5 linked regions of the Rattus norvegicus genome follow. The protein of the gene in region 2 interacts with the protein of the main gene of each other region in a pairwise test. Links are inferred from orthologs where the notes say so. Each region holds a gene or a part of one and is shown on either strand. Other genes may lie near its edges.

Region 1 (4,790 bases), on a different chromosome or scaffold from region 2:
GTGTTGGTTTCCAATCCAACTTGATCTATCCGGATCATGGTGAATCATGACTGCACAGGGTGCAATTTTCACTAACGCAATAGAAAGAGCTGTGGTGAGAGGTAGACTGAGGCACAACCATGAGCTCCTCTCTCTTGATACAGGTGACCAACAGTGAAGGGCCAGAGGCGTTTTGGGTGAGTGCTCTGAAAGTCAAACTTCTCAGGTATACTATCTCCTGGCTTCTGGTTGTTTCTGTGAAATTTGAATTGTCAAGATTTACTTTTTTTTTCAAAGTCTTGTAATGAATGTTTTTGAAGAGCTGTAAGTCTAGAGTTTTCGCTCAACTCACTCCGTATTGGAATAATATTTTTCTTGTCAGAGGTCAGAGTTAACCACAGCAGCAAACAAATAAAATGGGATAAAAAGCATATTGGAGGAGAAGTAATGATACTATTATTAAACAGATCTCAGAACACACTGCACGGATCTGCAGAGAAAGTACAATCAAAAAGGAGAGAGAACAGGAAACGTTATTTTCCAAATTAGTAAAAATGATTGAAAAGTTATGACTACCCCGCGATAATGAATATTTCCAGTTCACAGCGCTTGGTTTGAGTTTCTAAAATATCTTTCCTTGGGATTAAGGATAAACATCACAACAACACCATCTCTCTGGTGGCTGGTGATAAAACCCAAGGGTAGGGCCATAAACGTGGGCTGGATGCCTAGAGCTGATAGAGACATTTCTAAATATGTTCTCAATATTTCTGGAATCCCCAAACTGGTCTTAATAACTGTCTATGTGGGAGGAAGGCAATGGGAGGGGGGCAGTGGCTCTGAGAAGAAGGTCTAGCTAGAGGCAAGATCTTGGATCAACACCCAATACACACTTTGCTTTGCAAACGTTATTTTGGGCTCACTAAGCCAGCTCTGAGCTATGCATGGGGTGCGGAAGGCATTGTATGCTTCCTGACACACATACTTTTTTTCTCAGGTGGGGTGTTTATGATCCCCTCCTCTCAAAGATAAACAATAATTAGTAAATCAGTAATGAATTCTGCCAGGCACTGTCTTCTGGCCTGAGAAACACAAGCATATGGGGAGCTAACGCCGTGCTGATTGCCCTTATTACTCTCAGCGATACTGATACTGCCCTATGCCTGAATCAGGTGGAAGGGGAACTTTGGGGCTGTATATTATTCATCTTCCTGTGCTCAGAATCCAGGATGCTGCCTGTCACCCAGAAGATGATTCATAGCTGTTCGTTGATTTGGTAGATGATCCCTCGCTAGACAGAACTGGAGTAAGTTTCAGCATCTCACCGGTTCAAGTAGAAGGCAAAGTTCTGGGAACTGGCCCCCGCCCCCATCCCCCAACCCCCAAACCAGCCTAGCCCTTCCTTGCCACAGTCCAGCTTGCAGTCAGGCCTTGGGAGACTGTCTGCGGTCTGTATCCACACTGAAAAGCATTGCAGGTTGCACCCTGAACAAACCAGAAAAACAGCCTTCTTCTGCTCTGAGCCCAAGGCAGCAGGGTCCCACCCGCATCTACCTTTCCCGAGAGCAAGGTCAGCTAACCAAAGCCAGAGTGCTCCCACTCTCTAGCTTCGCCCCGCCCCTCCAGGTCCGCCACCACAGGTCTATCTGGCGCCGCCCGAGGTCTACCTGCCACGCCTGGTGGGTGGAGTGTGAGCGGAGCAGTCTCCCTGTGCTGGACTCTGCACCCTTAGGTGCTCGCGTCTTGGCTCTCAGTGGAGCCTCGGTCTTCCGAGTTGCCATGGAAGGGTCCAGGACCCCATCATCCCGGGAAGAGCTGGAGCTCTCGATAGTGGAGGGGCAGCAGGAAGAACTGACGCCTCTGAACAGCCTTCAGATCCAGCCTTGCTCCACCCAGGACCCTAGCCCCGCACAGGTAAGGACTTAGGGTTCTGGCGTGACAGCAGGAAAGGGGCTTGGCACCGCTTATGGGCGCGGGAGTGTCCTTCCATCGTCCGGACATGCTGAGAAGGGGAGGTTAAAGAATGCAAGAACTTTTGGAATTCCTTAGACCGTATCCCTTCATTTCTCAGACTCGGACCCCGCCTAGAGACTCTTCAGGAATCCTGTAGAAGGGCGTGGCTGCTCCTTTCAAGGGAGAGCAAAAGAAGTAGAGGTGGTGTTTGAAAGTTATGTAACTTTTAACTTGTTTTTCTTTCCTTCTCTAATAAAATTAAGAGTGATGGATTGAATCATATTGTCTCTCTCCCTTCCCCCACTTTCTCTCTCTTTCTCCTGTCCCTTTCTCCCCTTCCCTCTTCCAACACCCCTCCCCCCAGCTACGACCACCTCTAGCAGTATACAGTCAACTGTCTCCTACCTCTAAGTCCTCCGTGCCCTCCCCCCACCTTCAAACACGTCTTACTTTCTCCCACTTTTGTCATTGCTTCCTCCGCACTAAAAACAGGTAAAGAGAAGGAGGAAAGCTGCTGAGGTTAGACTGAGGGGTTGTGGACTTGCCTGCTCAGTATAAGGGAAATAATATCAAAGTTCTTCCTAAGAACTAGCCTCACTCTCTTCTCTTCTAAGGACTTCTCTAAGGAAGTCCTTAGGGGTGTGTCTTTTCTGATGTCATAGCTGAGCATTAGCCACAGATCAAATACTTGTAAAACATCAGAGAGTTTGAATACTGAACCACTTCTTCTGATCAACTCCAAAGGTTTGCTTAAGTTTTCCTGGGTACACTAGATTCTCTGGGCACTCGACCTCCATCCCTCTTCTGCCCAAGTTCTGACTTTAGTAAAAAATTCAAAGCTTGAAAACATTACTCTGTGTCCACAGTGATTCCTGGAAACACGGTGTGACAATGTCTTGCTTCATAGGTATCTTGGAGACTAAGTTGGCTCCTTATGTCTGCATGAAATAAGACCACAGATGAATGGAGTTTGGAAAGTAATGGCTGAAGGCCAGTGCAAGAAGCCATAATCAGGAACTTTCTGTATAATTCCCCAGGGCAGGGATTAGGCAAGAGAATTAGAAATACTTGCCTCAAGGTGGGGGTGAACCTGGAAGAAATTGGAATAGGGATGAATATTATTTTTTAAATACATTATGCAAAATTCTCAAAAAATTAAGAAAAAATGTAAAGGAAAATAAAAATTCAAACAAAACTTGTAAAAAAAAAAAAAGAAAGAAATACTTGCCTCTAGTTAGTCAGGTGCAGCACATCCCCAAAGATTGAGGCATTTTCCAGAAAAAAAAAAAAGTGTGTGATCCCAGAGAAGGCTGTGAAACAATGTTAATATCATATGCTCCATTTAGGCTATGGGAGCTCTAGACTATTTGTGGACAGCAGCTGAGAACTGGGTATCAGAATTTTATGATGGCTTAGGGCCTGCCTTGTTAAAACCATGCTTTGGTGTCCTAGTGACTTCCTTGTTAGTCAGATGTATGCAGATGTGCCAGACTTCCTCATAATTTGGCTTTGTAGGTTACTAAATAGCAACATTTCAATAACTGAGAGAATGGGGTAAGGGTAGAGAACCTGAAGAACCTTCTAGAAATACTTGAGTCATAGCATTTTAATAAGGAGAGAGAGAACAAAACCTCAAACCCTTCCCTAACATGTTCGCCATCCTCTGACTCTGTAGAATAGGTTGAAACGTGTTTCATCATGAAAAGCTCAATCAATGAGGTTCAGAAAGAACTGACTAGCACAAGCACATGGTTACACGCTTACCAATTGTGTGTCACCATCTTAAGTTGTGTGATAATAGTTCTGACCTTCGTGCTTATTTAAGTAGTCCATACACTTTCTAAACCACACGTTTTGTACCTATCGCTATTATGTGCAGCGGTGTAAACCATAAGTGCAGTTAATTATTATCAACGTTGAGGGAACTGCCCTAGTTAGCATTGAACTGTCAACTTGAGATAGCCTAAAAATCACGTGACAGGAGTCTCAGCTGAGTAACTGTACCGGGTTGATCATCGATCTGTGTGGATGTTTGTAAGGGATTATCTTGATTATCAATTGATACAGAGGATCCAGGCTACTGTTGGGGATATCATTCCTAGGCGAGTAGTCCGGGGCTAAAAGAAACTGGTTTGGCATGAGCCAGTGTGAGAGCCAGTTAACAGCATTCCACCATGAATTCTGCGTCAGATTCCTGCTTGAGGTCCTGCCCTGACTTCCCTCAAGGGTGGCCCGAGACTTAGAAGTATAAGGCAAATAAACCCTTCCTTCCCCAAGTTGCTTTTGTTCAGTGTTAAATCCTAAGGGAAAGAAATGAAAGTGGAAGAGGGAGGATGCTAGTTCTCTTGTTTGAGAGATGAAATAGCTCAGGGAAGAAGCTGAAGCTCAGAGATAACAACCTAATGGCGCAGGTTCACTCAGTGCCCTGAAGTTCAGATTCGGTGTCTTTCAATGTCTCAGGTCTACATTGTTCATCAATTTTAAGAAAACATTACGTTGATTCTGTCTCTGTCTCTGTCTCTGTCTCTGTCTCTGTCTCTCTCTCTCTCTCTCTCTCTCTCTCTGTGTGTGTATAAAAGTTGGGCTAGGAGTATATGAACAATTTGTCTCTCTTTCTTAATCTGAATTGGAACGTAGAGGGAAAGGAATGTAAACCATCGAACACAACGTTGTCTATTGTTACTACAGGTTAGCACCCTTGGGCAAAATATTGCAAAAGAAACTGTAGGTAAGAGGGCGAGACTGAGTGTGTCTTAGAGCTCATGACAGGGGCCCTGACTCAACATCCCAGAGATATCTTAGGTGATGGCATCATCGTTGTATTAACTAATAATATTCAGTAAATTGACTGCTCTGTG
Region 2 (3,500 bases):
GTTCTGTGTGGGGCCCAGGATGTCCAGGATAAGTTTTCTTCCATTCTCTGCCGAGGCCGGGAAGCTTATGAGAGATTGCTCTGGAACGGTGAGTAAAAGCAACCTGGGGCATCTTAAAACCCAACCTCAGGATACAGCAACTTTACTCTGCTCCCTCTCTATTCCAGGACGCTATTACAACTACGACAGCAGCTCCCAGCCACAGTCCCGCAGCGTCATGTCTGACCAGTGTGCTGGGCAGTGGTTCCTGAGGGCCTGCGGCCTGGGAGAAGGAGACACTGAAGTGAGCGAGTAGAAGACCCAGAGAAGTGTGGGTTTCCCTGGAGGTGGGAGGCAAGTCTGACTCCGCCTTTGCCGTTCCTCCAGGTATTCCCTACCCTGCATGTTGTCCGTGCTCTCAAAACCATCTTTGAGCTCAATGTCCAAGCCTTCGCAGGAGGAGCCATGGGGGCTGTGAATGGGATGCAGCCTCATGGTGTCCCTGATAGGTCCAGTGTGCAGTCTGATGAAGTTTGGGTGGGCGTGGTCTATGGGCTGGCAGCCACCATGATCCAAGAGGTAATGTACTCTCTTCCCATCCCCTCACCATTGTACCTTAGTCCAGAAGACTTCCTCAGCCATTCAGTTTATTCCAAGAACACCTAATGCCATCTCCCCCCCCCCCCTCCGGAGCTGGGGACCGAACCCAGGGCCTTGCGCTTGCTAGGCAAGTGCTCTACCGCTGAGCTAAATCCCCAACCCCACCTAATGCCATCTTACCCATCCACAGAGCTCCCTCTTCCCGGATATGCCTTCCACCTCTTGCCTTTTAAGTTCTTGCCTTTAGGGCAAACAGCTTACTGCCTTATCTGCTAAGGAAATTGTGCTGAGAACTAGCTATTATGTGTGGCTTCTACCTCTCCCTACAGGGCCTGACTTGGGAAGGTTTCCGGACAGCTGAAGGCTGTTACCGCACTGTATGGGAACGCCTGGGCCTGGCTTTCCAGACCCCAGAGGCATACTGCCAGCAGCGAGTGTTCCGCTCCCTGGCCTACATGCGGCCCCTGAGCATCTGGGCCATGCAGCTGGCCCTTCAACAGCAGCAGCATAAAAAGAACAGCAGCCGGCCAGCAGTCACACAAGGCACAGCACCCAGCACAGCCTGAATGCGGACCAAAGAGATCACTGTAAACCTACGTCCAGAGCGATCCCACTGAGCTGTGGAGGCCCAGCCTCCGCACGGGGCTTCCCTGCCTCTTCCCACAAGTCCTGCAGCCCTGAGCCAATAGGACAATCATGCCCCTCCTCTTCCTACCCCGCTGTGCCAGTAAGAAGGGGCTGAGGAACCACTTATTTATTTCTTATCCTTCCCATTCCTTCTGTGGATGAAGTATTCAAGGCCAGTAAATTTCTCCAAATCTATTCATGGGACAACAGATACACATGGGTATAAATAAAATGCTCATACAACTAGTTAGTGTGGTGAGTTCCTGGGCATCCTAACAGGCCCGTGAGCAAAGGCTGGCTCTCCCCTACTCCTTTTTATGTGAATACAGACAGGAGTCCTTGGGCTGAGGACACCCCATATCCTCACACCTAACCTGAATACCTGCCCTGTAAGATGATCGAAGAAGGGCTGTGGGTAGAGAGCCATCCTCCACTTTCTGTAAGATTTGCTTGCAGGAGAAGGTCGGAGCCTGAGAAGGGCATCTCTGAAGAAAGATCAAGGAGTGGCCAGTGCGGGGGTTGCTCTGTTTGAGCCATGTGGTTCAGGCAGGAAACATTGCTGGGGGCCAGGAATGTATGTTCTGAGCTCTCCAACTGGTTTGTGCTGCCCATTGGTAGCTCTGGCTGTAGGGCAGACAGCTTCGGCTGATGCTGGTCCTCGCTGGGCAGGGCACGAAGCTTGCGGTGCAACACTGAAGAGAAAGAGACTTGTCAGGAGACAACACAGAAGAAGCCCTCTACCACAGCCCACGCCTCAAGCCTCTTACCAACATACTCAGCGGGCACACTCCCCCTCACATCAGAGGAGTACATAGCAGGTACCAGAAGAAGGCAGAAGGACAGCAGGAGGACCTAGAACACAGGGAAAGGGAGGTGATGGGCTCTGGGTCATACACCCCAGCCCTGCCAAGGAAAGTGTCTCTTGTCCCCCTCCTCACCAGAACGCAAGTGCTGCCACTGCTGGTTTTGTTTGCTATCTCAGTCACCATGGCCTGAAGTTTCCTCAGCTGATCTAGAAGGGACCTAAGAGAAGAGAGGAAACTGGTGGGCATGCTCCGGCCTAGTGTCCAAGTCACAGTGAAACCCTCCTGTTTAAGCCACCCTCTCCACTGGTGCTGTGGACCCAGCCTCCGCTTCCTTGCTCCTTTTTCCCCAAATGACTTTATTGTGCACAAATGCCTGTGATCCCTTAGTGAGACAAAAAGTAAAACTTCTCTGCCCTGACTTAAACAAACTCCACCTCCTGTGTGGACATCTCCACAGGACAAGTGTCCAGCACTTAAAAGCCAGAGTTTTCTTATTTTAAGCTCTCTAATGCCTTAAACTCTGCATGCCTCACCCAGCACTGTGTTCTCTACCCCTGGGCCAACCCCCCAGAGCTAGTGTCCAGCCAAGCACAATATGTGTCTTCTCCGAGTCCCATGCCCATGACTGCAACCGCTCTGATGTTGATGACCTGCATTCAGCCTTTTCTTACTTCTTTAACTTGGTACTTACTGCTCCTTAGCTACCTTTAAGTTTATTCTCCATCACTCTGATGTCTGCATTTAGAAGTCGCGTGGACCAGGGGAAAGAGTAAAAAAGCATTAAAAACATGAATGGCTTCAAATGGCCACTTACAGATTCTGTTCCTCCAGATGCTGCACCTTGTTCTGAAGCTCCTGATTCTGGGCTGTGTATTTCAAGACCCTGGAGGACAACATGGATACAAGGACACATGGATATCCAAATATTGTGTGTCCTCCCTTCGAAACCTTAGGTTTCTAGCTTCCCCCATGCCCATTTACCTGCTCTCTAGCCCCACTACATACACCTTCTTCTTCTTGCGGCTTTCTTGAGCTGCTCTCTTGTTACGAATCTTCCTCCGTACTCGTTTTAGAACTTGTTCCTCCACCTAAGAGAAGATAGGGAAAAGGTCACCCATGGGATATCATTATATGCCTGTATGTCATACCTTTACATATTACATAGGTGTGTTGGATGGCAGCTAACCTTCCCAATGAAATTCTCTCCACAGCTTTTCTGCCAATAGGCATTCACCTTCTGTGTGGACATCTCCACAGGACACGTGTCCAGCACTTAAAAGCCAGAGTTTTCTTATTTTTATGTGTATAGGTGTTTTGCCTGCATGTCTGTATAATGTATATGTATAATGTGTGTGCCTGGTGCCCACACAGGCTAGAGGACAATGACAGATCTCCTGGGACTGAAGTTACAGATAATTGTGAGCTGCCATGTGGGTGCTGGGACTGGAACTCACGCCCCACGGAAGAGCAGAAAGTGCTCTAAACCAC
Region 3 (4,876 bases), on a different chromosome or scaffold from region 2:
AATTTAGGCAGTTACTTCAAGAACTAATCATGGTTGGATTTTGGCAAAAGGCATTTTGCTCACACATCTCTTTATGGTACATTAACAGTTGTGGAAAGTGGAGATTTTAACCAGTTCTCCCAAGAATTCAACACACACACACATCTGTACCCTCCCACTTAGAAGCAGCTAGGAATGTTTAAGCTTGGGAGGAGCATCTACACTTAATGCAAACGTGGATGACACACCCAAGATGATTATTTCTCTCCTTAGTGAGCTGGATAAGCCTCGACACATCAGAAGTCAAACAGAATCATGAAGGGAAGGTAGAAGATCAGGATAGGTGGAGTTCGAGGTATTAATCAGTGGGTGACTTTCCTATAGTTCCCTTCCCTCGGGGCATACAAATTTCTACAATTCACATGAACTGCACCTCTGCAATACGGTGATAAAGCAAAGCAGAGTATCTGCTATCCCTTCTCTCTGCAGGAATTGAAGACGGCTAAGCAACCAAGTTCTGCTCCCTTCGCGGAAGGAAACGCAGCCTTCCCCTCTTGCTGCTGGCTTTAGAACCACATTTCCCCGTGGAAGGTCAGCAATAATAAGAATCCCAACCTCAAAGGATGATGGGACAACGTTGAAGAACATCTATGTGGTGTGTGTTTAGACAGTGGAGTACCAAAGCACTACCACCTGGAACCCCAGCAAGGGACAGGTAGCCCACTGTACCCGAATCTAGATGCACAAAGCTTTCACACACCGGGGAGTGCATTCCAGTAATCCAGAGTTCAACACCTCTCCAGGACAGAAAGTACAGCCTGTAAATGCGCTCATTTCCACACAACTTGGCCTACCCAGCAGAATTAACTAGTACGACCCCACCCCCGCAGTCTATGCCCTCGTTTACTTTAACACACTTTTATTTTCATCAATCCTCATGAAAATAAAAAAGAAAAAATTAACCTCAGGCTTCCTCATGGGAAGCTACTGACCATTCAAGGTTGCTGCCCAGAGGTCTTTTTGGACTGGTAAGATTCACTACCTTCCAGTCACTACTATTGTGCTTGGGGAACAAAGGAAATCAAACCCACCTCCAAAGTCGGCCCTGTAGGCTCTTCTCCTCTCCTCAAAACCCAGTAGTGGGAGGGAAAGGGAAGCTCACCTCCGGGCGCGGGCCGCCGAGTGCTCGGCCAAGGCTCTGCCAGAGATGCCCAGTGAGCATTGGGTGGACCCGAGGGCACTAACGGGGAGAACTCTGCTCGGAAGTCAAGGTTTGAATTTTCCAATCCTGAACGGATTTGCCTCAGCACACGTCAGTAGCTGTCGCACGGTTTCTCGAAGGGTCTTCTTTGCCCCTCCTTCTTCCGCCCCGCCTCATTCTTGGGGAATTTCAAGAGTTTCCAGGAGTGTTACAAGTGCATTTACCAGCACCCGGGCTCCCTAGGTGTTCAGGGGACCTTCCCGGGGGCTCCACTCAGCCACCCGACAAGTTTAGGCAGAGAAACCACGAAAAGGCGTCTCGGAGGGCAGGGGAAGAGACTTCAGATTGACAACTTTAATAAAGTCGACCACTTGCTGCCTCTGACGGTCCGGCCGCGAGGCTCGCCTCCCCTCCCCCCCAACCCCCCTCCGTCGCAGGCAGCGGTCTGGACCGCGAAGCCGGAAGGCTGCGGGGAGCCGAGCCCGGGATGATGCTAAGATTGGGCAGGAAGGGCCCGTGCCACCCTCTGCCCTAAAGTTTTCACTTCAAAAGGACTCGGCCCGTCTGGTACACGGGAAAAAAAAAAAAAACCAACCAAACAAAACTACAGACCCACCCTGAGTCGTTTCGGTGTGGATTTAGGCCGGACAGAATGAAGACTGGGCAAAGTGCTTTACAGAATGTGTTACCAATTTAAAAATAAAGAAAAAAAATAACAGCTTTAAGACGGATCCCCTTTAAACTGCACGTTAACATCATTTTTGCTTAGTGCTTTGCACCCTCTAGAAGCTAATTCAAAACTGTCCCAACAGCTCTGAAGTCCCTACAGGTCCGGGCAGGCAGGCGAAGGGGGGTGGGGGTGGGGAGGGGGCAGCCCCTTCTAAAGCGCGGCTCCAAAATTCCCTTTTCCCCATTCCTTCTAGGAGCTTGGGTTTTAGCAGTTGGTTTTGGAAAAGCACCCTGGCACACACTGTTTCTAACGCCGGTTCCTCTAACGCTCCCCAAGTCACCACCACCCATTCAAGATTTCTCGCGCCCGCAGTTGCCAGCGTGGAGGGGAAAAAAAAAAAAAAAGCTGGCTGTGTGGGCTGAGGGGTTCGTCCCGTAGCACCGCGCTGGCTCGCACAAAGTAACTACTGTTGGTCTAAAAACCCTACCCGCAGCACCCCGATCTACGTATTTTCTGGCTTAATCCAGAAAAAAGGCTAAGGAAGAACCACGTGGAAGTCAACTGCTGCGGCAGGGGCTCAACAAAGCACTGTTACAAAAGGAGCCAGCTTTCTCAAGGCTGTAGAACAGCCGACGGGATTTTCAGGAGGAAAAAGGAAAAAGCCTGCAGTGTCCTGCACTAGAGGAAGCAGGCTAGGCAAAGTTGACGGAGGGGACCCCCCCTTCCCTCCCACCGCAGCACCTTCTCCATCAGGGACTACAGAAAAGTGAAAATTAGGCTCCACAACAAAGAACCAAGTCTAGGAAGTTGGTCCTTCACTCTAGCTGGAAAAAGTTTGAGCCTTTTACCTGTTGCACGAGCAGCGGAACTTTTTAAACAATCAAAATATAAACCAGCACGTGGAAATGGCAAAGACACTTGGAAGACCATCGTTCTACTTACGATATCCTAAGCCAAAGACGCAACGCGTTTACAAAGCACAGTGCAAGAGTTTTCCTGACAGAAAGAGACGCTATTAGGTAAAAGCGGGTTTTTTATCAAAACTTACTCTTTCACTTAATGAAAGTGAAGCCGGCGCGCCAAAGTTGGTGGAACTCCTTGGAGGCTGAAGTCAAAGGAAAAATGAGAGTTCAGGCTCTCAGACCTGTCTGTTTAAAGTTTAAAAGTCTGCTGCTGTTTGGTACTTTCCTCACGCCTTTCCCCCAATGAAAGAAAAGTGCTGATACCTCGTAAAAGCGTTTTTCTAACTTGGAGCGCAGAGCTTTTAAAAGTTTCAAGCCACTGACTCAACTGGAAGGAGGGGCCAGGAGAAAGGGGAGGGAGGAAGAAAAGGCGGGGAGAAGGTGGGGAGGAGGCTGACGAACGTGGGGCTGAGCAGGCAGAAGCAACCTGGTCAAGATAAAGTTGTAGTTTGAATGTGCTGACGAGAAGGGAAAAAAATATGAGAAAACAGCTCTAGCTGTCCGTCGGCCACTGCAGGGCTGTGACTCCTCACAGATAAAATACTGTTGGGTGTAGTAGGGCTTGTTTCAGGGGATGACCAGGGGGAGGGAGAAGACGTACCTTTCGTGTTACATTTTCTAAATGAAAAAAAAATGCAATAAATAAAAATGGGGGGCGGGGGGGACAAGGTCAACTCGTGCAGACTTGTTCTGCGTTCCCCAAGGTGTGTGAAGCTTGAGGTGGGTGTGCGTGATCTTTCTTATGACCTAATTCTCCTCCTCTTAAACACGGACAATTAACAAAGGAAAAAAGGCGGTGGGCATGGGAAAGGCATTTCACAACCAGCCCCAGTGGAGGGGTATGTCTACTCGTCGGTTTCTCTGCTGCTTTAGATAGTTTTGTGTATTCCTTCGATTAAGAACAGGAAGGTAGATGTTATGTATTATGAAAAATATCATGTAGGTAACTTTGGACTGAAACGTTGATACTGACCTCTACCCAGTCTCCGAGGAAGTGAACGTCCTATCTCAGTCCTATTCATGACTACAATTTAGCATTTAAATCGGCAGGAAGATGCCAAAATTCTCCCCCTCCCCTCCCTCCCTCCTCCTCCTCCTCCTCCTCCTCCTCCTCCTCCTCCTCCTCCTCCTCCTCCTCCTCCTCCTCCTAACTGCAGACTAGAGTTTCCAGATACATTATGTTAGCATAAAGCCAGTCTGAAAACTTCCTCCTCTCTTTCGATCATGTCCCTAGGAAGCCCATCCAGGGGAGAGACGTCTGCCTGGTGACCGCCTGCCTACAACTTCATGGCTTTCTCATCATACCTGACGGGGTTTATGAAGGACTGAGTCATATAACCTCATTCCTAAGGGTGGGCAGCTCCTTTGAGGGCTCCCAGATGTCCTCCAAGAGGGCTTATGGCAGGGCAATAAACAGGCTTCAGCGGTGTTCCCGGGGTTAGGCAGGGAAATCTCTCGGCCTTTGTTCAGGCATCACCTGACTGGGTTGAGCATCTCACTCTAAGGCAAACAGCAGAACAAAGGATGGCAAAGACTTCGTAGAAACACTTTCCCGTGCCTGGCTGGAATGCCTAAGGAGGCACCACTTGAAATCTCACAGTTTAAGACCCCAGCGAGCTCTCTTACTTTTGAGGTTTGTCTTTAACTTAAAGAAGGGAAACAATGTGACAGAAGCAGAAACTGTAGTCTGACTTTCAATGCTTTATGTCCAGAGATGTGACATTAGACTTTTTAAACATGTATTTATCAAATGTGTGTATTCACATATGTGTGTGCAAGTGGAAATTTGAAGACAGTTTGTGAACGTTGGACCCCGTTTTCCATCTGGAAAGTGAACTTAGAGAGTCAGACCTGACAACAGGCACCTTAACCACTCAGCCATCTTGCTGCTTCTTACTAAACTTATTTAATTAATTTTTTGTTTTAAACCATGAAGTCTCGCTGCATAGCTCTCCTGGAACTCACTATGTAGACCAGAATTCTGCCTGCCTCTGCCTCCTCAGCCCTGGGATTAAATGTGAGCACCACATACCTGGTTTATTCAATTTATCTTTAACTGATAAA
Region 4 (4,852 bases), on a different chromosome or scaffold from region 2:
CTTTTAATTTATTTTAGACAGGGTCTCTTGCATCCCGGGTTGTCCTGGAACTCACTGTAAAACCAGGTATATAGCCGTGAACTACTTGACCTTCCACTTCCCAAACCTGAGGTTACAGTGTTAACAACTCACCCAGTTTTTTCTTTCTAATTTGATTCTCAGCCTGGCAGTGGTGCATGCCTTTAGGGGAGGCTGAGGCTGGCAGATCTCTGTAAGTTCCAGGATAGCCAGGGCTACACAGAGAAACCCTGTCTTGAAAAACATACAAACCAACAAACCCCTCCAAACAATGAATTCTTGCTATATTACCCAGAACTGACCCAACCGACTTCCCAGCCTCCCCAGTCCCAGGGATGAGTCCTTGCACTGGCCTCCCATTTGGTCAGCATGTTGCCTTGGAGATCCTGCAGGCTAAATATTTTCACTCACCCTCTCCCCTGGGCCGGTAAATCCCAGTCTGACCTCAGACTGGCCTCCTTCCTCCATCCAGTCTTCCGTTTAGGGAACATTTACTATGTGCCTGGCATTGTGCCTCCAGAGGCCCTAGCACACATCCTCAGACCTGTCAGATCTTTCTGGTCCGTGAGACTCCTTGTTACTGTCTCTCTTCTCTCAGTCAGTTTTCTGCAAATTCATCTGCAAAATGCACTGGCAGAGAGGCTTCAAGTTTTCCTGTCCGGTCCAGGCTGTGGCAATCCCTGATGGCTAGGACCAAAGGTCAGGGTTAAATTCGCTTCTGGGCTTGGAGGTGACAGAAGGACCACAAAACTGCTAAAGGTCTGGGTGGCAGGTTTGAAATGCCTCTGAGTTGGACCCTCTAACATGTGAGGGGAGGGGCTGTCTCCTTGTGTCAGGAGAACATTTAAGGAACCCCAAGTATTACCTCTCTCCGCACAGGAGAGGGAAGAGCCCAGTTTACTTGACCAAGCACGCAGCAGGAGGCACCTGCCCCAGACCCTGACCTCTGCATCACCGAGAGGAGCTGACCTGGGATAAACAAGCTTTGTTGTTATATAGATAGTGGTTACTTTGTAATTCAGCCAGCCCTACATCAAAACACACCTCAGAGCCCCTAGTCCCGGGAACTGGAGACTGAACTCCTCCCACTTCACCTGTAATTCTAGATTTCACCTCCTACGGATCCCCTTCCTACACCCTAAGTCTTAGCTGGAGGGCTGGGCGAGCTCCGCATTCACCGGGAGAGAGGAGAGAGGAGGAGGGGGCAGGGGGTGGGTGGGGAGAGACTGGGAGGTGCAGCGGGAAGCTTGTAGCAGGCAGGCAGGAGCAAAGGGAAGCCGTAGGCTTCACCCCTGGTTTCTGGGAAAAACTTTCGACCTTCGTGAAGATTTAAAGACACCCAACTCCCAAGTGTAACAGCCTGAAGAGCGCGGAGTTCTGAATATTTGCTTCACCCAAGCCCTCGTCCGTTCTGAGCCTGAGTTTCTACGTGGGTAAGTGGTCAGGGAAAAAAGCACCGAGCCTTTAGTACTGTGAGGATTAAATAGGCAGCCCTTGCTAGGATTCGGCTACGGCGATGGCAGAAGCGGCATCTACGAATACTCGGGTGCGGAGAGCACACTCGCAGATGCACTGGCACGGACACTGTGTCAGGTCCGCAGGCGACGGAAGAACGTCTGCAAGTTAACGACTTTTAAAACAGCGGTTCTGCAGCCACTATTTAGCCAGGGATTTGGAGCCCCGGAGGGAGGGGCTAAAGGGGAGGAGCCGGACGAGCGCGGCCACCTATCAGTGCCCAGCCCGCCGCTCACAATAACCCGCCTCCAGCCAGCGCCCCCAACTCAGCCACCCGAGTCTGGGCCGAGAGGTGTTCGGGCAGCTCGCCCGCCGCTACGCCAGCTTAGCCGGGCAGGTAAGCGCCCGGTAGCCCTAGCCCAAGTAGCCGGAAGGTTGGGGACCCGTGTTCAAATCCCTTGGTAGCCCCGGCTCCGAAACGTCCCCTCCGCGTCTCACACCCCAGAAGGTGCTAGCCGCGTCCGCGTGTCTCGCTGCGCTTCCGTGCACTGGGGTGGCCCTTGCGTCCTGGCTCCAGGACTTGGTAAGCAAGTGGCCTTGGCTGTCGCCGTGCCCTCGGTGTCGGAAACTTGGGGGAAGCAGCTCGGGACCAGGGCGCGGCACTGCCACAGTAGGGCGCCCAGGCTCTGCCCCGGGCGCAGGCGGAAGATGGCGTCCGCACCTGTCTCCGCGAGGACCTGGGAGTTCGCATCTGTCCCTCCCTTGGGGATCCTGGGATCCGTACCGTTCCTGCCGCGATCTGGTAGTTTACACCTGTCCCCGATAGAATCCAGCTTCGCATCTGTCCCCTCTGGGACCCCGGGACGCACGTCTTCGAGGGGTGGCAGAAAGGCCTTCTTAGGCGACCTGGGTAGTTTAGTCCATCACTTTCTCGAAGCTCCTCGCCACCTTCCGGTGCCGAGGCGCAGGGACCGGGAGGGGATCGGAGGGTCCACCAAGGTCATCTGTGTGCTTCCCAGAGTACCACCCACAACCGACACCGGGGGCTCAGTACTTCTGTCACTTTCGCTGTCCTCTCCGGCCTTGTGGCCTTGCGGATGCATGCGGATGCAGGTGGTTTTGTAAACTTAATTGCAGTTTTGAAGTGCACTGAGCCACCCCTGCAAAGTGTTGTTGTTTACTGTTGTCGCTGCAGGTGATAACACTGTTACTGTGGTCTGGAGCCAGGTGCAGAGCTCTCTAGAAGGTTGGTTTCATACCTGCTTTGGGGTGTGGGGGTGGGGTTGTCAGTGAACCTTAATCTTAACCTTTGGGGAGCAGGCTTCATTTCAGACAGAGTAACGGGCATGTGTTCCAGCCGCCACACAGAGCGGACTCCCATAAAGGCTGGCTCCGTCAAAGCCTGGAGGGTTTTCTTGGAGGCCATACCAACCTCTCTACTTGTGACCTGCTTTCCGTTCTGACTGTGTGGCTTTCTAGAGGTTCCTCCACCATTCTGGACCTCAGTTTGTTGAGTTTTTGAAATGTATCCTGGTTTAACCTGGAGGGGAGGGACCTCACCCAAGAAGCCGCTGAGCTACTCAGCAATGCTACCTTGATTTCCGTTCTGTTTGGGCGCGATTACTGTTGCCGCTTTACCAGTATCCACTGAAGGCTTATCTGGGGCCCTTGGCTGCCTTTGGATCTAGTGTCCTGCCTAGGGCAGGTGGCACTCTGACCTCCCAGCCTTGCCCCTCCCCACGCCTCACTCCCCCCTCTCCATATTCTCCCCTCTATACTCCAGGATTTGAGGCATAGTCTCAGGTAGCCTAGGCTCGCTATGTAGCTGAGTTTGGTCTTGAAACTCCTGATTCTCTTACTTTCCCCGCCTGAGTCCTAGGATTCCAGGTACAGTTATTGTGCCCAGGTTATTTATTTGTAGCTAGGGATGGAACTCATGGCCCTGTGCCTACTGCCATTTTTCTTTCTTTTTTTTTTTTTTTTCCGGAGCTGGGGACCGAACCCAGGGCCTTGCGCTTCCTAGGTAAGCGCTCTACCACTGAGCTAAATCCCCAGCCCCTACTGCCATTTTTCTTAAGGCCTCACTATGTAGCAGGGCTAGCCTTGCATTCTCCATCCTCCTGCCTGCCTCCAGAGTGTTGACTCTTCGTCTGCTTTCTGTTGCTAATAAGATGCAATGCCTCAGGTCGAGTCAAGTTATAAAGAAGTGAAATTTATTCTGGGTTCGTGTGGGGTTGAGGGGTCATATTGGATGACGCCCTCTCTCTGGCAGATGACAACATACATTGTGCATTTTACCCACCTCCTAAAGATCTAGTCTCTAAACCCCACAGTGAAGTCGAGTTTCCCCCTCCAAATACCTCACGAGGGGGATTAAATGTCAAAGCTCCAAGCTTTGGAGACCCCCCCCCCCAGTCATATCTAACCACAGCACCTCTCCTTCAAGGTCACAGAGCTGACACTGACCTTGGCTGCTGTTTCTCTGTTGTTCCTGCAGAGTTAGGTTTTAAAGGTTGTTCGTGGTTTGCTCTTTTGTATTTTGGAGACAGGGTCTCACACTTTATAGACCAGGGTGTCTTTGAACTCTCGATTCTCTCACCTGAGATGCTGGGGTCATGGGCCTACGATACCAAGAGTATTTTTTTTTTCTTACCTCAAAATCTGCACCTTGCCTGAGGATGCTGGCTTCCAGCCCAAGTTTGGAAATGCAGAATGTCATTTTCCAGCTTGGTGACAAACTTGTGTAACTTCGGTTCTAAGCTGTCCCCTAGTTAGCATTTTAAAGTTGCCTTTTGTTTTGATTCTAGACCTGGGGATGGGACCCTGGGCTTTGTGTATTTTAAGTAACACTTTACCCCGGAGCCACAGTTGATCCTTTTCTGTAGCAATGCTTCTTCAAGCACTGGGAGGTTTATAAGAGACCATCAGAGTGATACAGCCCTGTCCCCATGGGTGTCTATGTGGCTCTTCATCTTCTGATGACACCTTCCCTGACAACCCCTCCACGTCTACCCTTCCTGTCATTTCACCCATTCGTTGTCCTGTCCTAAACCCTTGGCTGTCTGAAATCTCACGAATTCGTGTCCTGACCTTCTGTAGCCTGCATGTTCTGTGAGCCAAGGAACATCACAGGAGAGCCCGTCATAGCCTGGACTCTCTCCGGGTGGAGAGGTTACCTGTGTGCTGGTCACTGTGGGGTGGGTGATATACAGTGATGAAATCACTGAGAGCAAAGAAGCCCGAGACTGTGGACTGGAGATGTAGCTCAGTGGCAGAGTTGCTGGATATTACACACAGATTCCTGGGTCAGCTCCCAGGGATGGAGGCCAATACTAGCTCGAATTCGGGAAGGAAGCAGAAGTTCAAGGTCATTCATTCT
Region 5 (4,751 bases), about 89 Mb from region 2:
CGAAATCAGTGAGCAGGTGGGCCGCGTCGGTCATGATGGCTAAGCTCTGTGCCAGGTACCCACCTGAGGAATTGAGAGCCAGGGCGGTGAGTTTCCCCCAGAGGGCCAGCTCCCCCAGTAGTGCACAGCAGAGAGCCCATCAGCCCTGGAAGATGAGGCCCATTGGGTTCAGGGTCTCTGCACCTCTCAGTACAACATGAGCACCTGACCTCTTCTCTTGAGTCACAACTACTCCTGTGGAATTCATTCACGTCCACTCCCAGGCTCAGGCCATGGTGGAACACACCTTTAATCCCAGCAGAGACAGACAAGTCACTGAATTGAGGCAAAGCCAAGTTCCAAGCCACCTCAGGGATACACAGAGGAAGAACCCAGTGTGTGTGTGGGAGGGGGGCAAAAACCGTTAAACCCAGCGCTCAGGAGGCAGAGGTAGGTGGAGCTCTATGAGTTTGAGGCCAGCCTTAAGTCTAAAGAATGACCTCCAGGGGGTTGGGGATTTAGCTCAGTGGTAGAGCCCTTGCCTAGGAAGCGCAAGGCCCTGGGTTCGGTCCCCAGCTCTGGAAAAAAAGAACCAAAAAAAAAAAAAAAAAAAAAAAAAAAAAGAATGACTTCCAGGACAGCCAGGGCTACAGAGAAAAATTCCATCTAACTTAAAAAAAAAAAAGTTCAAAGAAAAGAAGACAGGCTGGAGAGATGGCTCAGTGGTTAAGAGCTCTGACTGCTCTTCCAGAGGTCCTGAGTTCAATTCCCAGCAACCACATGGTGGCTCACAACCATCTGTAATGGGATCCAATGCCCTCTTCTGGTGTGTCTGAAGAGAATGACAGTGTGCTCGCATATAATAAATAAATAAATAAATAAATCTTCTTTTAAAAAAAAGGAAGAAACAAAAGAAAGTGGTAAGTCATTTCTCCACTGGCGAAGTTAGCTAATTCAAGCAGATTAAAAGTATATATGAAGGCAGGTTTATTGGGAAACCACTCAGGTGAGTTCACTGGTCCCTGTGAGGGTCAGGGAAGTTGTCATGGAGAGGGAGACGGGAGGGGGAAGAAAAAGCAGGTGGCACTCTAGTGTGCAGACAGAGAGAGAGAGAGAGAGAGAGAGAGAGAGAGAGAGAGAGAGAGAGAGAGAGAACAAACAAGAATGAACAAGAAGACAAGAAGGCAGGAAGGCAGGGTACCGAAATGTCTGGATTATACAGGACCGAGCCTCTGGGGTCAGAAGTTCAGCCCCCTGGGCTAGAAAGTTCAGGTTGAAGGCAGAGTTTGCCATGTAGAGACTGAAGGATGCTGGGAGAACCTGGAGGCCAGGTTCACTTTGTTTAGTTCAATATGCACCTCAGCAGATTGTCTCAGACGTTAATCCCAACTGACAGAAAATCCAGTTCAGGCCTCAGTAGGGGCTCTTCTTAATTCTTTTATTATTAACTTAGTGTATGTGTTTTGCCTACCTGTATGTATGTATGTATGTATGTATGTATGTATGTATGTATATATGTATGTATATATGTATACCACATGCCTGGTGCCCACTGAAGCCACAAGAGGGCATCTGATTCCCTGATTCCTTGGGACTAGAATAACAGATGACCATGAGCCACCAGGTAGATGCTGGGAAGCAGGTCCCCTGGAACAGCAGCCAGTGCTCTTAACTACAGAGCCATGGCTCTAGCCAAGAGATTACCTTAAAAAAAAAAAAAAAGTTAGCCCAGCGGTAGTGGCCCATGAAAGGCAGAGACAGGCAGATCTCTGAGTTCGAAGCCCGTCTGGCGTAAGAGGGAGTTACAACAGCCAGGGCTACACAGAGAAACCCTGTCTCGAAAAAAACAATAAACAAATGAATACTGGTGGTTGTGGTGTCACACACCATGAATCCCAGCACTCGAGGAGCAGACAGAGACATGAGTTCAAGGCCAGCCAAGGCTACTGAGAGAGAGAGAGAGAGAGAGAGAGAGAGAGAGAGAGAGAGAGAGAGAGAATTAAGCGATTAAACTGGGGTGGCTATTAGTGCCATTAGCATTGATGTGAGCATTCGGCCTATCCGCGCAACAACTTCACTTGATTCCCACACACGGCCTTACCAATAATCTCTCCAATCATGAACACCAGGCAGATGGCAGAGGCCACATAGAGTTTGCGTCGGGCCCTCTGCTTCTCGGAGTTGGGGTGACTTCCAGAATCCTTCTGCGCATGACAGTAATGGTTGCTCTGGACAGCCAGTTCAACAGAGGGCAGGTTCACAGGCGGGATTCGGCTAGCTTCACTCTTCCACAGAGCTCCAAAGAAAGACCTGGAGGCCAGGGTTAGGGCAGAAAAAATTGCTTGGCCGGAGGCAGGGAGGCAGCCCTGAGCCAGTCTCTGGTGTTATGGCTGGTGCGAAGTTTCTAGAACAAGTAAAAACACTCCAAACGCCGCAGTGGCTGGCGGGTAAGCAGAGGTAAGCAGCCAATGTTACGAGGAGGGTGGGGGTGGTACTGGGGAGGTAAGTCTTGGGACCTTGTTCTAGGATGGTCCCCTCCTCCTCCACCCATCCCCAGGCTGAGGAGAGTCTTTGCGAACTAGCCAAAGGGCAGTCCGTCCGGTCGAGCTCAGAGAGAGAACAGAGTTCTGGCTCAGACAGCAGCTAAAGACCATAGCTCAGCGCACCCGAGGGCACAGGGCCTCCCCACCTCAGGGCTACCCGGGATCAAAGTGCTGGAGTGAAGGCGGGGTTCCAGGCACCCTAGGTCCTACTCGGGCGCACGGGCTGGCAGCGTTCAGGATCTGTGTGCTTGGCCAGGTGAGACAGGTGATCCCTGAGGCTACGAGGTCCCTGCCAATTTCCTTTTTCTTGCCTCACCCCATCCCTCTGATCGGGTCCCAGTTCAAGCCCCCGCCCAGACCAACCACAGCCAAGATGGTCAAAGAGGAGGTGCGTGTGATGCCGCCCAGATTCCCGCCCCTTGGGGCTTGAACTTACCGGGCTCCGCGCGTGCTCTCCAGCAGGTTCTGCTTGTCCATGGTCTGCATGCCACCTCTCCCGGTGAGCCCTCGAAGTTGCGCGCGGGACGATGGCAGCTCGCAGTCACCTTCTACTTTCAGCTCTGGTCCTGCCTCTGCGCCCCGCGCCCGCTCGCTTTATCCCCGGCCCTCACCACCTCGTGTGAAGCCGCCCGCAGCGCGTCGTGTGCAAAAGCCCGCGGGGAGGGGGAAGGGCGGCCGGCTGCAAAGGGAATCGCTGCTCTGCCCCCAGGACCCGTCTCCTGCGTCCGGAGCCTGAAGGAGCCGAGAGGCCAGCGACCTAAAGTTTTTGCCTGGAGCAAAGAGGAAAGCACTTGCTAAGAGTTGCCCAGAGTTGCTAAGATAGGACTAGGTGACCAAAGCACCCGCTCTTCCCAGAATCCCATAGGAATTTAAAAAAAAAAAAAAAAAAGCCTTGGAATCTGGGTTTCTAGAAAATCAGCCCCGTGTGGTAGCACACACATTTAATGCCAGCAATGCGGAGGCTGAGTCAGGCAGATTTCTGGGTTCGAGGCCAGCCTGGTCTACAGAGTGAGTTCCAAGGCTACACAATGTCTCAAAAAACAAAACCAACCAACCAACCAAACAACAACCGGCAGAACGAAAGGAAAGAAAATTCTTTGATTGCCCTTAGGGCAGGGATGTGACTACTAGCAGCTTTGATGGGGGCTGCCAAGGGGAAGAGAGACTTCCTGGAGTTTGATTCTTGATTCAAGGGAATGACATTCCCACAGTGGGCTGGTGCTCTTGCCCTGTGGCTGCAGCCCTTTGCTGGGGCCGTGCCCAACGGACTGCAGTAGTTGGAGTTACAGATCCACTTTGAAAGTTCCTCCTGCCTTGCACTCTCTGATTGCGATCTGGAGTAGCTGCTTTATCTCTACCTCTACAAAGAACAGTGTCCTGTCTTTTTAATCGATGCTATCTGGGCAGAACAGACTTACTGCAGCAGCCTGTATACCCCAGAAGCCCCGAAAATTCCTGAGAGGGCGTGGTACCTTCAACCGAGAAGACCACGCCCCACATGTCCGTCCTTCCGTCCTTCTGCCCCCCCCCCCCTCTCCTTGAGACAAGGTTTCTGTGCAACCCTGGCTGTCCTGGAACTCTCCTTGCTCTGTAGACCAGGCTGGCCTCAAACTTGCTTCTGCCTCTCCAGTGCTGAAATTAAAGGCATGTGCCCACTGTACTCCGCTTGCCCAATGTACTCTAAACAGTCTATCTCTTGGGGATTGGGCCCTATGGCTCGCCCTCCCCCACACCCCAGTACTGACTGCTGATGGGTATCTCCTTCCGGTTGATGACTTCCCTGCTCAGTCACTCCTTCTCCTAGAGTCTTCATGACCACAGCTTGTTAAGTATAACGGGGGTGGGGGTGGGGGTGGGGGGGTGTAGTTCATTGGTCGACTGGTCAATAAATCCTTGGAGGCTATCTCCAGGGCCCAGAGTGGGAGAAGGAAGGACTATGGCCATGTGTAGCCCAGGCTAGAATGAGACCTTGTCTCAAGGGGATGGAGGAAGGACTGGATTAGGGTAGCTCAGCTGGTAGTGTGGAGCCTTGAGTTCCAGCCACAGCACCACATTCACCAGGTGATGGTATAGGCTCGTCGTCCCACCTCTGCAGAGGTGGAGAGGGAAGGGATCGGAAGTTGAAGGTTCTCTTTAGCTATATAGCTACCTTGAGGCCAGCCTGGGGTACTTAAGACTTGAAGGCCCTCTCTCAATAAACAAGAATAATGAAAAGAAGCCCATACCAAA

What was found. The genes of interacting proteins can lie anywhere in the genome.
Region 1: the proteins of Creb3 (region 2) and C11h3orf52 interact in a two-hybrid assay, tested with the Homo sapiens proteins (2 studies listed by BioGRID and IntAct). The two-hybrid records come from large-scale screens. The link is inferred for Rattus norvegicus from reciprocal best matches to the Homo sapiens genes CREB3 and C3orf52.
Region 3: the proteins of Creb3 (region 2) and Gja1 interact in binary tests that used the Homo sapiens proteins (3 or more experiments, as listed by UniProt). The two-hybrid records come from large-scale screens. The link is inferred for Rattus norvegicus from reciprocal best matches to the Homo sapiens genes CREB3 and GJA1.
Region 4: the proteins of Creb3 (region 2) and Bik interact in a two-hybrid assay, tested with the Homo sapiens proteins (2 studies listed by BioGRID and IntAct). The two-hybrid records come from large-scale screens. The link is inferred for Rattus norvegicus from reciprocal best matches to the Homo sapiens genes CREB3 and BIK.
Region 5: the proteins of Creb3 (region 2) and Slc30a2 interact in binary tests that used the Homo sapiens proteins (3 or more experiments, as listed by UniProt). The two-hybrid records come from large-scale screens. The link is inferred for Rattus norvegicus from reciprocal best matches to the Homo sapiens genes CREB3 and SLC30A2.

What each region holds. Positions count from the first base shown.
Region 1 is NC_086029.1:68,627,861-68,632,650, forward strand, and holds the start of C11h3orf52 (similar to human chromosome 3 open reading frame 52), read left to right. Parts: upstream 1-1,709; 5' UTR 1,710-1,758; coding exon 1,759-1,893; intron 1,894-2,050; exon of another isoform or gene 2,051-4,790. UniProt on the Homo sapiens protein: Has a role in LIPH-mediated synthesis of 2-acyl lysophosphatidic acid (LPA). LPA is a bioactive lipid mediator involved in different biological processes, and necessary to promote hair formation and growth.
Region 2 is NC_086023.1:62,616,128-62,619,627, reverse strand, and holds the end of Creb3 (cyclic AMP-responsive element-binding protein 3), read right to left. Parts: intron 3,101-3,500; coding exon 2,994-3,100; intron 2,896-2,993; coding exon 2,827-2,895; intron 2,230-2,826; coding exon 2,145-2,229; intron 2,059-2,144; coding exon 1,974-2,058; intron 1,899-1,973; coding exon 1,576-1,898; 3' UTR 1,146-1,575; coding exon of another isoform or gene 909-1,145; 3' UTR 609-908; downstream 1-608. Other genes in the region: Gba2 (non-lysosomal glucosylceramidase), read left to right, coding at 1-88, 168-283, 367-558, 909-1,145. UniProt on the Homo sapiens protein: Endoplasmic reticulum (ER)-bound sequence-specific transcription factor that directly binds DNA and activates transcription. Plays a role in the unfolded protein response (UPR), promoting cell survival versus ER stress-induced apoptotic cell death.
Region 3 is NC_086038.1:36,300,769-36,305,644, reverse strand, and holds the start of Gja1 (gap junction alpha-1 protein), read right to left. Parts: upstream 3,082-4,876; 5' UTR 2,899-3,081; intron 1,889-2,898; exon of another isoform or gene 1,071-1,888; intron 1-1,070. UniProt on the Homo sapiens protein: Gap junction protein that acts as a regulator of bladder capacity. A gap junction consists of a cluster of closely packed pairs of transmembrane channels, the connexons, through which materials of low MW diffuse from one cell to a neighboring cell.
Region 4 is NC_086025.1:116,550,532-116,555,383, forward strand, and holds the start of Bik (bcl-2-interacting killer), read left to right. Parts: upstream 1-1,771; 5' UTR 1,772-1,870; intron 1,871-4,852.
Region 5 is NC_086023.1:151,841,781-151,846,531, reverse strand, and holds the start of Slc30a2 (proton-coupled zinc antiporter SLC30A2), read right to left. Parts: upstream 3,082-4,751; 5' UTR 3,009-3,081; coding exon 2,959-3,008; intron 2,352-2,958; exon of another isoform or gene 2,301-2,351; coding exon of another isoform or gene 2,290-2,300; coding exon 2,081-2,289; intron 64-2,080; coding exon 1-63.